Callithrix jacchus: one gene and its partner. The protein of the gene in region 1 purifies or fractionates together with the protein of each later gene. This does not show direct contact. Links are inferred from orthologs where the notes say so. Each region holds a gene or a part of one and is shown on either strand. Other genes may lie near its edges.

Region 1 (7,540 bases):
AGGGTCTTTCCTGTCCGGGTTTCGGACACTGTTGGGAATTTCTGGGAGCTTGGGCGCGGGCGGCGATCTCAGACTGAAGGAGAGGCTCCGCGGCGGAGAAGCGCTGGCTGACGCAGCATAGGCGGGCTCCGGGCAGAGACCGCTAGTAGCGCGGTTTTAAAAGCCCCTGGATCAAAAAGGCCCTCAGGAGGTGGAAGGCGCGGGAGCAGTGGTGCAGAACTAGTGGGATAGGCCACTCCTAGAAATGTTTCCGAGCCCTTCTTGCTGAGGGGTTCTTTGGAAAGAAGCATGGAGGTTTCCCATCCTAGCCTGATTCTACACACCTAGATGAAGCTCATCCAGCACCGAACCCTGAACTTTGCCTCCGTGATTCAACCAAACCCTAAACCTCCTCCGCCTTCTCCAGACTTGGAGAGTGGGGTTGACAGCCCCGGAGGTCTAATCCGCCCCGACCCAAGGTGGCGACCCAGCAGCAGAGTTGGTTAACCCGTACGAGTGTGTTTTAATTTGTGGGGCGGAGGACCAGTCTGTGTGTGTTGGGTGACTAATGGCTCCTTAATGAGCGACCTCGAAAGCAGGAGAGGAACTGGGCTGTGGGACACACCTCACCCGGTTGCCGCCTGGAGAACGTTAGTTCAGCAAATGCTCCTCCAGTTTCTAGGGTTCGTTTGTACCCAGGAAGTCCCCTGCCTAGATGATGAACACTACCTCACACAGCCTTACACAGGAAGAAGATCCTTCCACTTGAAGAATTCCTCTTCAAACCTTTAGTCCTGGCTCAAATGCCACCTCCTCCTGCAAGCCCCCAGCATGCCAGCCCCAAGGTGACAGTATTATGGTCCATTCTGTGGCTCATACCTCACCCAACCACCAGTATTTCTTGGGCTTTGATTTTGTCTATATCCTTGCTGCTGTTCTGCGAGGACAGAGAGACCTTTTTGATTTTTATGTCTGCCCACCTCCTCCCCCCAATGCCCAGCAAATCGCAGGTGTTTGCTTGGTTTGTGCAACTCCCAAGCTGCTGACACCTGTCCCTGGGCAGTGCCCCAGGTGGAAAGTTGGCTATTGCAGAGGTTACCAATAACCCATTAATCTCCTCCTCTCAGATTAAAGCCACAAAATGAAACAACACCTTCGTTCATTCGTTTGTTTGCAGTGTCCCTCTTCCCGCCCCTAAATCCTGCCCTGATAACGAGACAAGTCTCCTCCAAGCTAACTTTAGAGATTTGTGATAAAGAAGAGGAATATTTCAATTTGAATTGGGTAGGGCAGAGGAGAAAAAGAGAGATGCAAGAGGCATTAACCCCTGAGAAGACACCACCTTTGCACTCTAATATGCTGGAAAAGCAACCTCTCCACCAGCTCCTGGGAGCTGGGTTGGCCCACTTCTTCCCAGGACATCCCTGGCTGACTAAAGAAGGCCTCTGGAGTTCAACTAGCAGGTATTGTTGCCCGCCTTCCACTTTCCTGTTCCCAAGCTGCAGGTGAATTCTGTGGATCCTTACAGTGTAGACCATATTCTCTGAGGTCCTAGGGGTCCCTGAAGTCATATAGGGGTGCTCTACTGATTTCAGTCCCCATGCTGACCAATCCTATTTCACCTTACCAGTAAGAGAGATGGTGTGGCTGGAAACCTTCAACAGTTTCTTGGTAAGTTTTCAATCAAGGCTTCTATGTGATGAGGGTGGGGGCATTGCCAGAGATTCCAAGCAGACCCTCCACTTTCTTTGCTCCTGGCTGCTCAGCTCCATGAGTTCAAGACACAGCCACCCCAGTGCCTGGGGAGTAAAATATGCTCCGGGGATGTACTAGGCCCCAAAGCACCTTGGGAAAATTCCTAGGACGCTCAGCCTGGCAGCTGTGTTTCCGAGGATTCCGACTCTGCCATTGAGTTATTACTGTCTGCCTCCCTCAAGTGCAACCAACAGTTGCTCTAGAGCTAGGCTGGTGGAACCGGGGAAGGGGCCGGCAAAGAGAGTCAGTAGTCCTAGTTGGAGGCTTGTCTTTCTTTTAAACTGCTCTTTGAAATTAAAGCAGTCATTGCCCCAGAAAAAAAAAGGGGGGGCTGGATCAATAATTACTCAGAAGACTTCCAGCATTCCAAATGCAATCTGCCCTGCCTCTGGCCCAGACCTCCAGAAAGAGTGTCATCTGTCTCCTTGCTTGGACAGAGGTGCTCTTCCTCAGCTGCAGAGACTGTGACACTCCTCTTCCTGGGGCACAATGGAGTCACCTTGCTGAGCCTTCTTGAAGGTCCCCACCTCTTTTTATTGGCTTAAAATCTCATCCAGCAATCCCTAAATAATCTAATATACAAAATATAGAGTTTTACCTGCGGTGAAATCTCATTAATAAATACAATTATGTAAAATGGGGGAGGGGCCATATAATTTACTGTACCAAAATTCATTTCTAAAGACATCATATAATTTACAAACCGATTAAAAAAAAAAAAAAAGATGCGTGGTGCTTCAGGCACCTGCAGCGCCGCTCACGTTTCAGGTGCAGTTCGCAGGGAGGCTGGGGAGGTGCTCCCTGGCCCGGCTAGCGCTTTCCCAGTTCACAGCCTGGTCTTCCGCCCCGGGAGGGCAATGGCTCCGAAAAGTGCACGAGGAGAAGACAGAGGATCGCCTTCTTGGCTTTAAGGCAGAGTGAAACGCTCTGAAACCCCGGACCTGATTGGGAGTAGAGGAGAAGATCCGCAGCGTCTTTGGAGCCGGGCAAGGGGAGCAAGCGCTAAGAGACCAAACATCGAATCACTTTGGAGGAGGGGTGGCAAGAGACAGAGGGGCAGGCAGACTCGAGCGCGGGTAGGGCGACCAGAGACGGTGGGCGGCTCCAGCCAGGTAGTGCTATCATTCTCGTATACTTTGAATGAGATTTTGGGGTGGTGGCAGGGAGGAGGCCTAAAATCAGCTAAGCTTGCAATGCCCACTTCGCGCGGGCAGCAGCAAGGTTTGTGTGAGTTGGCGCGGCTCGGAGGGCCCGGGAATGAACCCAGCCTGCGGCCCCCGTGGGTCCTCCAGGGGTCAGCCAGGGAAAAGCAGAAGGAACAAGTGCTCTTGAGGGCCGCCGCCGTCGCCCACCCTCGACGGCTCCGGCTCCCTCCCTCTCCTTTACCCTTAGTACCCACAGCCCAGAGACCAGCAGGTCCCTTCACAGAAAATCTGAGAAAGCCATAGTGCCTGGGCGCAAGCAGCCGGAAGAGGTGGCCCCTCGAACCCCGGGGCCCTCCTCCAGCGACGCGGCGGGGCTCAGGCTGCCAGCCTGGGAGACTGGAGAGTAGAGGGAGCCCCAGTCCCCGGGGGAACTGCCTTCTGGGCTGCCCAGGTCCCCGCAGTGCGACGCAGGCGACTCCAGCGCGTAGAAGCTGTGGTCTGCTATGCGCAGCGTTTGAGTCAGCGCCCAGATATAGTTGTGGGCGAAGCGCAGCGTCTCGATCTTGGTGAGCTTCGCGTCGTCTGGGAATGTGGGCAGGACGCCGCGCAGTGCGTCCAGCGCAGAGTTGAGGTTGTGCATCCGATTGCGTTCGCGGTCGTTGGCCTTCTTGCGCCGACTCCGTCGCTGCTTGCTCAGTGCCACCTCGCTCTTAGGACGGCTGCGCCCCCCGCGCCGCGCCCGGAGTTTCCTCGGGGCTCCTCTGCAGCCTCCGCCTTCCGCCTCCACGCAGTTCCCCCGCGTGAGAGTGGGGCTGGGCGGGGCGGACGTGGCGCAGGTCACTTCGTTGTCCAAGGCTTTGGGGAAGGGCCGCTCCGTCTCACCGGTCACTTGGACAGTGGGCGAACCCGAGGGATGAGGCGCCATCCTGCGGCGGGGTCAGAGGGAAGAGTAAGCTTGCGTTGGTCACCAGGCGCAGCCCCCGATTCCGAGGCTAGGTGGGAAAAAACAGAATGAGCCATCCTCCCAGCCCCCGCTGGGTCAGAGGATCCCTCTTTCCCCGACTCGTCCCTTGGCGGCCTCCAAATGTTACCTTTCTACCGGTGCAAAATAATAGAGAGCGGTGAGCAGCGAGGGCCGTGGGGAGCTGAGCAGGCTTCTGGTCACCAAGTTCAGCTGAGCTGCAGGCGCCCCTGACTGGGAGTTGCCCCAGCCCCAAAGAAGAAAAGAGCGAATGGGGTCCCGGGACTCTGTCGCCCTCTCTCTTGAGACCGCGGGGTTTCCTGAGCAGCAAGTCGTGTGCCCCTTGGCACGCTTTATCTGCTCGGCCCGGGCCTGGAGCGTGCCTGCCCGGCTGCTGCCCGCGCCACCGGCCAATCAGCGCCAGGGCCCGGGGGCCGCGCCACGCGAGCCTGCTCCTCCCCTGCAGGGCACAGCTGGATTCTGGACAAAGGGCCGAGGTCGGGGGAGGGGAGCGCCGCTCTGTTTGCTCTCTCGCCTCGGGCTGGGTCCCAGCAACTCTCGGTTCCTCAAAGAGCCTCGCCCAGCGAGAAGAGCCTTGTGTGGCTCGCGTCAGGCCACTCCAGACCGCTTTGCTCCTAGCTATCTTACCTTGGCATCCGTCCTGAAGGGGACTTTAACGCGGTACAATCCCCGCACGTTAGACACGGGGGAAATTTAGGCTCAGTGAGGGAGATGACTAGTCCGAAATCTCACAGTAAGGTAGTGGCAGAGACAACCAGGAGCTCGTCGTCCTGACTAGCAGCCTGGAGAAGGGTCCAAGAATTTTAAAGAGCACCCTGTTCTCCTGGTGCTCTTTAGAATTGCCTCTCTTCAACTTAGAAGGGAAGACAGGGGCCATCACGGAGAGCGATCCAGCCTATGTCCCTTCCATTCACAGACCTTCTTTTAGGGGTGTTGGAGCCTCTGCCACAGCCTGAGATGCTACCTCACACTCCCCAGAGGTGCTTAGAACCCCACCCCCATAGATCCCACTCCAGAGGCAGAGGCTGGCTGTGGGGGACCCTCAAGGGAACATTCCATTACTACAACTTGTGGATAGTATCCCAGCGTTCTGGCTAGGAACTGTGACAGGAGGAGTTCTGGGAAGTGAGGTGTGTGTGTGTGTGTGTGTGTGTGTGTGTGTCAGGGTCTCCTGTTGCTCAGGTGTGATTGCAGTGGTGCAATCACGGCTCACTGCAGCCTTGATCTCCTGGGCTCAAGCTATCCTCCCACCTCAGCCTTCCGAATAGCTGATACTACAGGTGTGCATCACTGTGCCTGGCTAATTTTTTTTATCTTTATTTTTTATAGAGACGGGCGTCTTGCTTTGTTGCCCAGGCTGGTCTTGAACTCCTGGGCTTAAGTGTTCCTTATACTTCAACCTCCCAAAGTGCTGCGAAACAGAGCCGCTGCACCCCTCCCCCTTGTGTATTTTGAATCACCACGGTGTGCAGGCACTGGAAGCAGATAAACTTTTTCTCCCCTTCATCCTCTGGTCCAATCACAGACAGCGGCTGCCAGCAGTCACCTGCTCCAGCCCCCTGCCTCGGAAAAACTCAGGCAGCGCACAGCGAGCACAGGGCAGGAACTCTCCAAGGCCCTCGGGTTGTCCCTGGTAGCGCTCTCTGGAAATCTTTCCAAAGTGAGTCTGAACGCATCACCCCTCCTTTCTTCCCCAGCCCCTCCTTCTTGTCCCCGCCTGGGACACCCCGTGGTCTTCTGCTTCCGGTCACTCAGGGTGAGGGGTTGCGGCTTCCGCTTCTCTCTCTTGACCCGGTCGTGCCTGGAGGAAGAAGCCGAGGCTGGGGGTGAAGTCTCCCGGTTTAAGTGTCCTTAGGCGATGAAGCCTTCGTTTTCTAGCAGGTCCAGATACCCTGAGTCTCCCGGAAACTGCAGGCGGGTACAGGACCCAACTGCGGGGCTGAAGGGTGAGGTGAGGGGAAGAGGTAGGTCTATGAGCCTGCCCTAGTGATAGCCTCTTACCACCCGGGCTGCTTGGGAGACAAGTTTTCCTCCAAGGAAGAGGGTGATATGCCCAGGAATCAGCAAGAGGGGGGGTCAAGGACTGGGCGGGGGTGTGGCGAGGTCCTGCCGGTCTTACCTGGTGCTCTGTGAGCAGAGGCTCCTTCCCTTTCTGTGGGGAAATACAGCCTGAGGCCAGGGTCAGAACCAACAAAGGGACCACCTGGGACTGTTGGGTTAACATTTGCTGCAGCTCCTCTCTTAGGTCACCACTTGCTAGGAACTTGTCTTCTTGTATGGGAATAGGAATTCCAGGCCCTCTTTAAAGATGAAAAAGTCAAGGCCCAGAGAGGGGGAGTGACTCTCTCAAGGTCGCACAGCAAGTTCTATCTGGACCTCATAGAAGTCATATCTTAAGACTCCTAGTCCCAGATTTTCCCTTGCACCAGCTACCACTCTTTGATTTGAGGGAAAACCTTTTTGTTTTTCAAGGCAAATCAAGAGACCCCAAATGCAGAAAATAGAAGTCCTGAGTCTGGGGGTCAGATTAGAAAAGGAGTAATGGTCCATTTTCCAGGCAAGGGGAGCCAGTGTCCATTCCTCCTCCTCCTCTTCATCCTCCTCATCCTTCTCCTGCCCTTCCTCCTCCTCCTCCTCTTCCTCCTCCTCCTTCACCCTCTCTTCCTCCTCCTCCTCGTCTGCCTCATACCCCAGCCTTGCTTGATTTATTCACCTGCGAATTAGAAACTGGGAGATAACTAACTTAAAGCTTTTTTGATTTGGGAGAGAAAATCCAAACCATGCTTATCTAGGGTCTCCTGACCTGGCTAAGCTCCCTGGAGGGAACCCTGACCATGAAGGCACCGCTCTGGTTTCCCAGAGTCCTGAAGAGCCTCCCACAGCGTAACTCTTATCTGGCGGTGGATCTCAGATAGGAGTGGATGTCGCTCTAGCTGGGGTCTGCCTTGAGCTGCTAATGGATAAGGACAAGGTTTGCAGGGCGAGCTTCCCATGACAGGAAAGTCTCTGGGGATTCTTTCAAGCTTTCTTGATAGGTAGAGAATTATAGGGCCTGCTTGGAATTCTTATCCAACCTCCCCTAAACCTCTCCGGCTCAGGGCCCTCCAAGGCTTGCAGGTCTCCATCACGCCTGCTTTGCGCAAAAAGCAGGGCGGGGAGCGCACGGTGTCTGGGGTCAGCCGCCTTCTTGAGAGACGCCAGGACGTTCCGCAGCCCTCCTCAGGCCAGGAGGCCAGGGCCGAAGTCGAGGAGTCCTAGGGGATTAGAGATTGAGGATCCATGCTCTCTCTCTCAGCTGCAAGGGCGCACAGACCCCTCTCCAAATTTAATTCCTGTGCCTTTGGCAGCGGAGGCGCAGGCGGTGATGACTCCGTGCGCACCAGCAGTGTTTGCGAAATGGCTCTTCCCGCAGAGAGCAGAGTTTGTTCCTGCAGCTCCTGGTCATCCACCGCCCCTAAGACCTCCGGAACTCCCGCATCCCTCCGTCCCCTGAGATCTAAGTTTGCCTGGAGGCTTAAGGGGTTCAGGAGAAAGGCGGTGGCCAGACGCCTGGAGACCGAGGGCATATTGGAAGAGAAGGCAGACAGCGACCAGCCCTCCTGCCTTCTAGTCGGCGGGGGTAGTTTTTAGCATTGCCTGGGGGCTCTTTGAGAATTGTGCAGGGAAGGAGGGGGCCATG
Region 2 (7,394 bases), on another chromosome or scaffold:
CACCACTGCACTCTAGGCTGGGCAATGGAGTGAGACCGTCTCAAAAAAAAAAGTCTCCCTATCATGGGAAAGGTTGAGACTGTTTCATATCCTTTCCATTAAGAGAACACTGTCCTCACTTCATCTACTTGACTGTAAGCAACATATTCGGTCCCTGGGAAAGAAAAGGGAGCCACAGTGCTGCTAAAGCTGGTCAGAAACCACTGATTCCTCCTGCCTCAGTCTCCTGCATAGCTGGAACCACAGTCATGTGCCACCATGCCCAGTTAATTTTTTTTTTTAAATGTTCGTAGAAGCAGGGTCTTGCCATGTTCCTCAGGCTGGTCTCAAACTCCTGGCCTCAAGGGATCTTTCCAGCTTGGCCTCCCAAAGGGCTGGGATTATAGGTGGGAGCCATGGGCCTAGCCTTAGAGGATTTTTTTTTTTAATGAACAAAGAAAAATGCTCCTCCTCTCAGCCCCAGTGACAGCCTGTCAGAACTTAGGTAAAAGCTGATTACAGTGTTAAGCTTACCTCCTGTTCTTCAACCTTCTGCCCTTTCGAGGGTTCCTCCTCACCATCAAATGTTGGTGGGATGCTGTTGTTAATATTGAAAGTGACAGTGATTCTAAAAGGGCAAGAGACAACAGACAAGGCGGAGTTTTAACTGAGTAGGTTAACACATATACATGGAGGTCTGCTACAGTTAAAAAGGCCTATTGAAACAATGTCTCTATCCTGGCTGGCTGAGTTTCATGCAGAACTTCAAACAAGGTTGGCTGCCTACCTCCAATCCCCAGTGACTCAGCAGGTCTGAAGTGTGCCTACCATGTGACAGCTGCTGGAAGCCAAAGCTGGCCTCAGTTTATCTCAGCCAAACAAATCATGCATGAGTTACTCCCAACAGGCCAGTATCCCAGGGCTCACTACCGTGTGTTGACTGGGCATCTCATGTCCATAGTTGGCAGACCCTGCTCACCCTGGTCTTTCCAGGGAATGCTTGGTAAAAGTAGGGACCTGAGAAGCTGGTGAGATGGACCAGAAGCCCCTTTAAGAGCCTTCCCCATCAGAAAATCTGCCCTGCAAGGAAAGGAAGGAGCAATGGAGGGTGAGAGCATCCTGGCCCCAGGAGTGGGGATGCCTCACAAAGAACAAAGGCTGTAGTAAAGTCATTCTTCAGAGTACTTATGGGAAGTTTTATCATCACAAAGCAGGCCCGAAAAACCAACTAATGACAATTTTAAGGTGCAAGAATCCACACATGACAAATCATATTCCAAAGTTTGAGTCAAAATTCCTGAGGTTCAGAACATGAGGTTTAGAACTAGACCTGCTGGACTACGCAACTTGGGCAGGTACTATTCAAGAATACATTAAGTGCTGCCCCCTCGACTTGTGCTAACTAGCTGCTGTGCCATGAAGTCACTTTTCCATAATAACAGTGGCAGTCTGAAGTTGACAGAAATCTATTTAATTCTAACTGTGCTGACCAAGCTGAGCTCCTGCAATGATGTTCGTCACTGTTATTTTTAATGGCCCTCAAATAGCTGTGAAAAGCTTGTGCAAATGGTTTTTAAATGATGACACAACTGACCTGTGTATGGGAAAAAACACGCTATGCAATAGGCAAAGCGAATCAGGACCTTACTTTACACCATACTCAAAATGGATCGGAGACCTAAACTAAGAGCTAAAACTAGAAAACGCTTTGAAAAAAATAAGGCATCAATCTTCACAACCTTGGATTAGGCAGTGGTTTCTTGGATGTGACACTAAAAAAGCACAAGTTGCACTTGGTGAATCAAAAGCAAAGTAAAAAGTAAAAAAGCGCAAGTGACCCAAAAAAAAAAAAACAGGTTAAAATGAACTTCATCAAAATAAATAACTTTTGTGTCAGAGGACATTACCAAGAATGAAAAGAAAACCCACAAAATGGGAAGTAATACATGCAAATCATTAATGTGATAAGAGAATTATACCCAGAATAAACTAAAGAACTCTTAAAACCCAACAATTAAAAAGGTAAATAGGCTGGGCAGCGTGGCTCACACCTGTAATTGGAGCACTCTGGGAGACCTAGGCAGGTAGATCATGAGGTCAGGAGTTCAAGACCAGCCTGGCCAACACTACAACACAGAAATTAGCCAGGCATGCGCCTATAATCCCAGCTACTCAGGAGGCGGAGGCAGGAGAATTGCTTGAACCCAGGAGGCAGAGGTTGCAGTGAGCCGAGATCCTGCCACTGCACTCCAGCCTGTATGACAGAGCAAGACTCCATGGGGTAGGGAGAAAGCTGCATATTGTAGGACTCTGTTTATATGAAATGACCAAAAGAGGCAATCTATAGAGAAAGTAGATTAGTGATTGCCTGCAGTGGCTAGATGGAGGAATCAGGAGTGACTGCTAATGGTATTCTTTGGAGATGACAATAATGTTCTAGAATTAGTTAGTGGTATCTGATGCATAATTTTATGAGGACTAAGAAACAATTTAATAAGCTTCAATAAATGGGTAAATTTTATGGTATATAAATTAAATCTCATTAAAGCTGTCACTTAAAAAAATAATTAAAGGCTGGGTGAGGTGGCTCACACCTGTAATCCCAGCACTTTGGGAGGCCAAGGTGGGCGGATCATGAGGTCAGGAGATCAAGACCATTCTGACCAACGTGGCAAAACCCTGTCTCTACTAAAAATACAAAACTAGCTGGGTGTGGTGGCGCATGCCTGTAATCCCAACTAACTCAGGAGGCTGAGGCAGGAGAATCGCTTGAACCTGGGAGGCAGAGGGTGCATTGAGCTGAGATCATGCCATTGCACTCCAGCCTGGGCAACAGGAACCAAACTCCTCTCAAAAAAAAAAAGTTATATATACATCATAAGGTCTATTATAAAATAATTCAATTTTAAAAACCTGGAAGATACTAAGTGTTTATCTGTGTAATAAGATTATGGATGACTATAATGCAAAAAAATTGTAAACACTTCAACAGTTAGCTTAGAAGGTGGGAGAGCTGCCTTAGGTCACAAACTCCCAACCTCTGATGGCAGCCCTGACTACAGTGTAACCCCATTCTGTTACACAGAAGTTACATGTTGCATTTTCACCCACTCTGGACATTAAGAGACCAGGGTCCTACTTTACTGGCGCTGTAAACCAGAGATCAATCTGATTCTGCCAGTACTTTTTTGTGTTCATTTTTGTCTCCTTAGTAATCAGCCCACAGCAAATTTGTGTTCAGTGAATCAACTATCTGGAACTTATAAATTTGTCCAAATGAATCCTTCACTCGCTTGAAAACCATTTATCAAAGAATCCACACCTGAACTCAAGGCTCTTCTGGGGATGATCCACGACGGGTCTTGCAGGGTAATGGAGTTGGTGCCCTGGAATCCCCAGACCAGTACTTACGTTTCCCCAGCAACTTTCTGCACTAATTTAGCTTCTGTCCCATTCAGTTCCAGCTCCCAACCTCCAGACATCTTAGGGAGGGTTTTATGCTTCTGGATTTTTCTTTCCTCCTTAATTTCATCACTCAGGAAATCAACAAAAGCTTTGTCTCCTAGAAATCCAGATACATTAAAAGGGAAGCCAGTTAGTCTAAAACATAAAATTATTACCCAAGTTATTGTAGCCAGAAATCTGGCCTGTTTCTAATCTCTGCTATTATGCTTACTCTGGAAGCCTCAGTTTCCTTATCTGTAAAAATAACACAATAGTATTGCGAAGCTAAGGACGTCCAACAGCGAACGCATTGCCACCTTCTGTTGTAAAGCAGAAGAACTTCCAGGCATCCTCTTCCACTGCCAAACGATTTAACTATGCTATTTTCAATCACGACCTTGGGCTTTCCCAAAGGTCCACTTTTGAGAGACTAAAGCTAAGGATAGAGGTACCCTCTAGTATTTATCTACCCCGTTCCAACAGAAAATGAAACTTGTGGAAAGGCGAGGTGGGGAAATATGATCACACGTGGGTTTAACCCGCTGGTTGCCAATCAATGGAATAATGTCCCAGATCTCGGAGGTCGGTTGCAGGCGCCACTCCTGGTCTACGTTTTTCTTTCGTAGACCGCAAACCCCAACAACAGCCCTGGCCCACGAGCATGAACCTCACCTTCGGTGTGCAGCGCGCCGCAGCCACAGCCGCAGGCGCAGGGCCCGCGAGGCCGCAGGAGGCCCGGCCGCTGCTCGGAACCTGCGCGCACGCTGAGCAGCCCGAAGGGCCGGGCGCAGAGCTGGGGCGCCGGCTGCAGGAGCTGCCGGAATGGCGAAGCAGGCGAGGCGGGAGCCGCGGCGCGGAGGCCGGCAACGGAGGAGCCCAGTACACGGGGCACGCAGCGTAGCAGAGGCAGCATCGCGGAGAGGACTAGGAACACGTGCAGACGCAAAGGACTACCCAACTCTAGGCTCCCCGCGACCTAGCCCGCTGCCGGAAGCCCCGCCCCGTCAGGAAGCGCTTCCCGCGCCGGCGCTCTGAAGACCTAAGGCCAGTGGGAGGAATCGCGCCCTCTGCTGGAGACCTCCGGTATAGCCCGGGAAGCCTCGAATTTTTTCCGCGAGCTTTCTTGCTGCGTTAGCCTGAGGCCGCTGTCCGAAGCTGTTTAATTCCCTTCGGTGGCTGCTTAGACATTTTCCATCTACTGGTCTCAAGCCACACCGTTTTTGGGCTGCGTGGAATGCACTCTTGTCTCCCCTCAGCTCTTACCAGACCCTTACACGGTCACTTTCCTCTAGGAGGCTGTGGTGTTTCTGTGTGTGTGTGTACAGGTTTTCATCCACAGTTCCTGGCTGTGGTGTTACAGTGTGTGTGTGTGTGTGTGTGTGTAGGTTTTCATCCATAGTTCCTGGGAGGCTGTGGTGTCACGGTGTGTGTATAGGTTTTCATCCAGTGTGTGTGTGTGTGTGTAGGTTTTCATCCACAGTTCCTGGGAGGCTGTGGTGTCACGGTGTGTGTATAGGTTTTCATCCAGTGTGTGTGTGTGTGTGTGTATAGGTTTTCATCCACTGTGTGTGTGTGTGTGTGTGTGTATAGGTTTTCATCCACAGTTCCTGGCTCTTAACTCTCACAGCCCTTGTTACAGTGTTCTGTGATAATGTTGGGTGTGTTAGGCCTCAGAGAATAGAATCTCTCTCCCCTCCTCCTCCCCTTTCACAGGCCCCATAGCGGGACTCTCATCTCCCCCCACATTTCTGATTGTGGGTCTTAAGTCCCTCCCCAGAGAAGGTCCCACCCTATACCTTGGGGAAAGAGATGCTGAAGTTTGGAAGCTTCCATAAAAACCCAAGAGGACAGGGTTTGGAGAGCCTCTGAGAGCTAAACACTTGGAGGTTCCTGGAGGGCTGTAGCCCTGGGAGGGGAGCTCATCTCCTTATCCGCATCCTCGGTCATATCCTTTACATTAAACCAGTAAATGTGTTTCCCTGAGTTCTGTGAGAGGCTCAAGTAAATTCATATAACCCAAAGAGGGGGTTCAGATTTAGATTAAGAACCAAGAATCCCACCTTCTCAGGATACACAGGACATATAAGCTACCAAGAAGGTATGGCTTACTAACTCATGATAAGACTAACACTTAATATCTTCTGAACACTCCTGAGTCACAGGACACCTTTATAAGAAAAGAAAAGCTATTTTCTAAACAATTTTCAATGAATAACGGAAAGGAGATTCAGAAAACGAGCCACACACATCATGTAAGATTAGTTTTTAATGGATTTGATCATCGGGTGCAAACTTGAGCATTATGTACAAGAGCTTTCTGTAGTTATTTCTACACAAACAAAAGCCTGAACCTACTTGATTTTTTTCCTCCTCCCTCTAGTTACCAAGGAATGCTATCTTAGATGCATGGCCTATTATCACACTGGTCTTTAAAAAAAAAAAAAAAATGCATGGCCACAGTTCCAGGCAGTTCCTGGTAGCTGGATTTAGGATTTATATATCACAGTACAGTACATAATCAGTTTTACCCACAGTGCAAAACTTGCTTCCATTCAGGCATCTCTTTGCAACTGGCAGCAATGCAGCATTAGGGTTTTTATCCAGGACATGGTGTTTGCAGTCCTGCCCCTTGTAGTAAAATATGTGTTACTCTGGGTGCTGCACACTCCATGATTACTAGAAGGCAAACACCTGAGGCATGCAATCTGGGTGGAGTGCATCTATTTACAAGAAGCAAAGAGGTATCACATCATCAGAGATTTTACCAATGGAAAAAGAGTAGCTGAGGATTATATTGCAGTGTTATTGTGAAACGTTTAACTTTCCTAAGTTTAAAGTGTACTATCCCCTGCAGCTCAATATAAACAACGATTTATTTCTTTGTAGGAATATGTGGAGTCAGATGGGTTTTCCAATCTGATTTAATCCCTGAGCAGCTATGTTAAAAGTTCACTTTTTAAAAAAAGTATTTAAAAACTAAATACTGTATTAAAACTCTACCACAATGTTACAGTGATAAACATATTTCTGTACAGAAACATTAAAGCTACTTAGAAGCTGTTTATATCCTTTACCTCTCAGGAAAAAAAAATATACATTTCTGGAAGCTGTTCAGATACTTAAGCTGGACATAAATTACCCCAAGTTGTTTTTTTTTTTTTGAGACGCAGTATGGCACTGTGGGTCAAGCTGGAGTGCAGTGGAGTGATCTTGGCTCACTGAACACTCTGCCTCCCAAGTTCAAGCAATTCTTGTACCTCAGCCTCCCTGGTAGCTGGGATTACAGGTGTTTACCACCATGCCCAGCTAAGTTTTGTATTTTTAGTAGAGACAGTGTTTTGCCATGTTGGCCAGGCTGGTCTCAAACTTCTCAAGCAATCCACCCACCTCAGCCTCCCATCCCAGTGCTGGGATTACAGGCATGAGGTTATCTGCCAATATTGGCCTCCCAAAGTTCTGGGATTACAGGTGTGAGCCACTGCGCCTGACCACCCCTAATTATTTTTACCAGTGCTATGAATGATTTATTAAAAATATAATACTTTTTCTTACCAAGTCAGACTAAACATTCTAGACCCCTACTGAAAAAAAAAAAAAAAAAAAACCTTTGTGGAAAACTTTTCAGAAAGTCAGCAATGATAACAAGTCAGTAAGTGGAAGAACTCGTTCAAAGTTTAAGAATTCAGTAAGATAAGGTATACAGGAGCTGTCAGATCTTATTTCACCCACATATAACCATTTCTGGCAGACAGTCCTAAACAAGTCAAGCTGAGAGCTTGCCTGCACAGGACCATGGCTAGCGTTGGAAATAAAGACTGAGCTGGACTGGACACACACAACCCTGGACAGATGAGACCCTGGAATGGGGGTGCTCCGCCAGGCCACAGCTTCCAGAGATGGACCGTCCATGAGCTCTGAAGAGCCTCATGGGCAGTTTGGCCCATTTATAAACTATGATTCGTTCAGGAAGA

What was found. Proteins that work in one complex are often made in the same cells at the same time.
Region 2: the proteins of NEUROG3 (region 1) and C1QBP purify together in Homo sapiens (affinity purification with mass spectrometry; 3 studies listed by BioGRID and IntAct, counting the BioPlex papers as one, with this or other methods). This does not show direct contact. The link is inferred for Callithrix jacchus from reciprocal best matches to the Homo sapiens genes NEUROG3 and C1QBP.

The regions. Positions count from the first base shown.
Region 1 is NC_133513.1:60,517,986-60,525,525, reverse strand, and holds the start of NEUROG3 (neurogenin-3), read right to left. Parts: upstream 4,170-7,540; 5' UTR 3,805-4,169; coding exon 3,157-3,804; 3' UTR 1-3,156. UniProt on the Homo sapiens protein: Acts as a transcriptional regulator. Together with NKX2-2, initiates transcriptional activation of NEUROD1. Involved in neurogenesis. Also required for the specification of a common precursor of the 4 pancreatic endocrine cell types.
Region 2 is NC_133506.1:106,966,538-106,973,931, forward strand, and holds the start of C1QBP (complement component 1 Q subcomponent-binding protein, mitochondrial), read right to left. Parts: upstream 4,430-7,394; 5' UTR 4,337-4,429; coding exon 4,096-4,336; intron 3,542-4,095; coding exon 3,391-3,541; intron 608-3,390; coding exon 514-607; intron 1-513.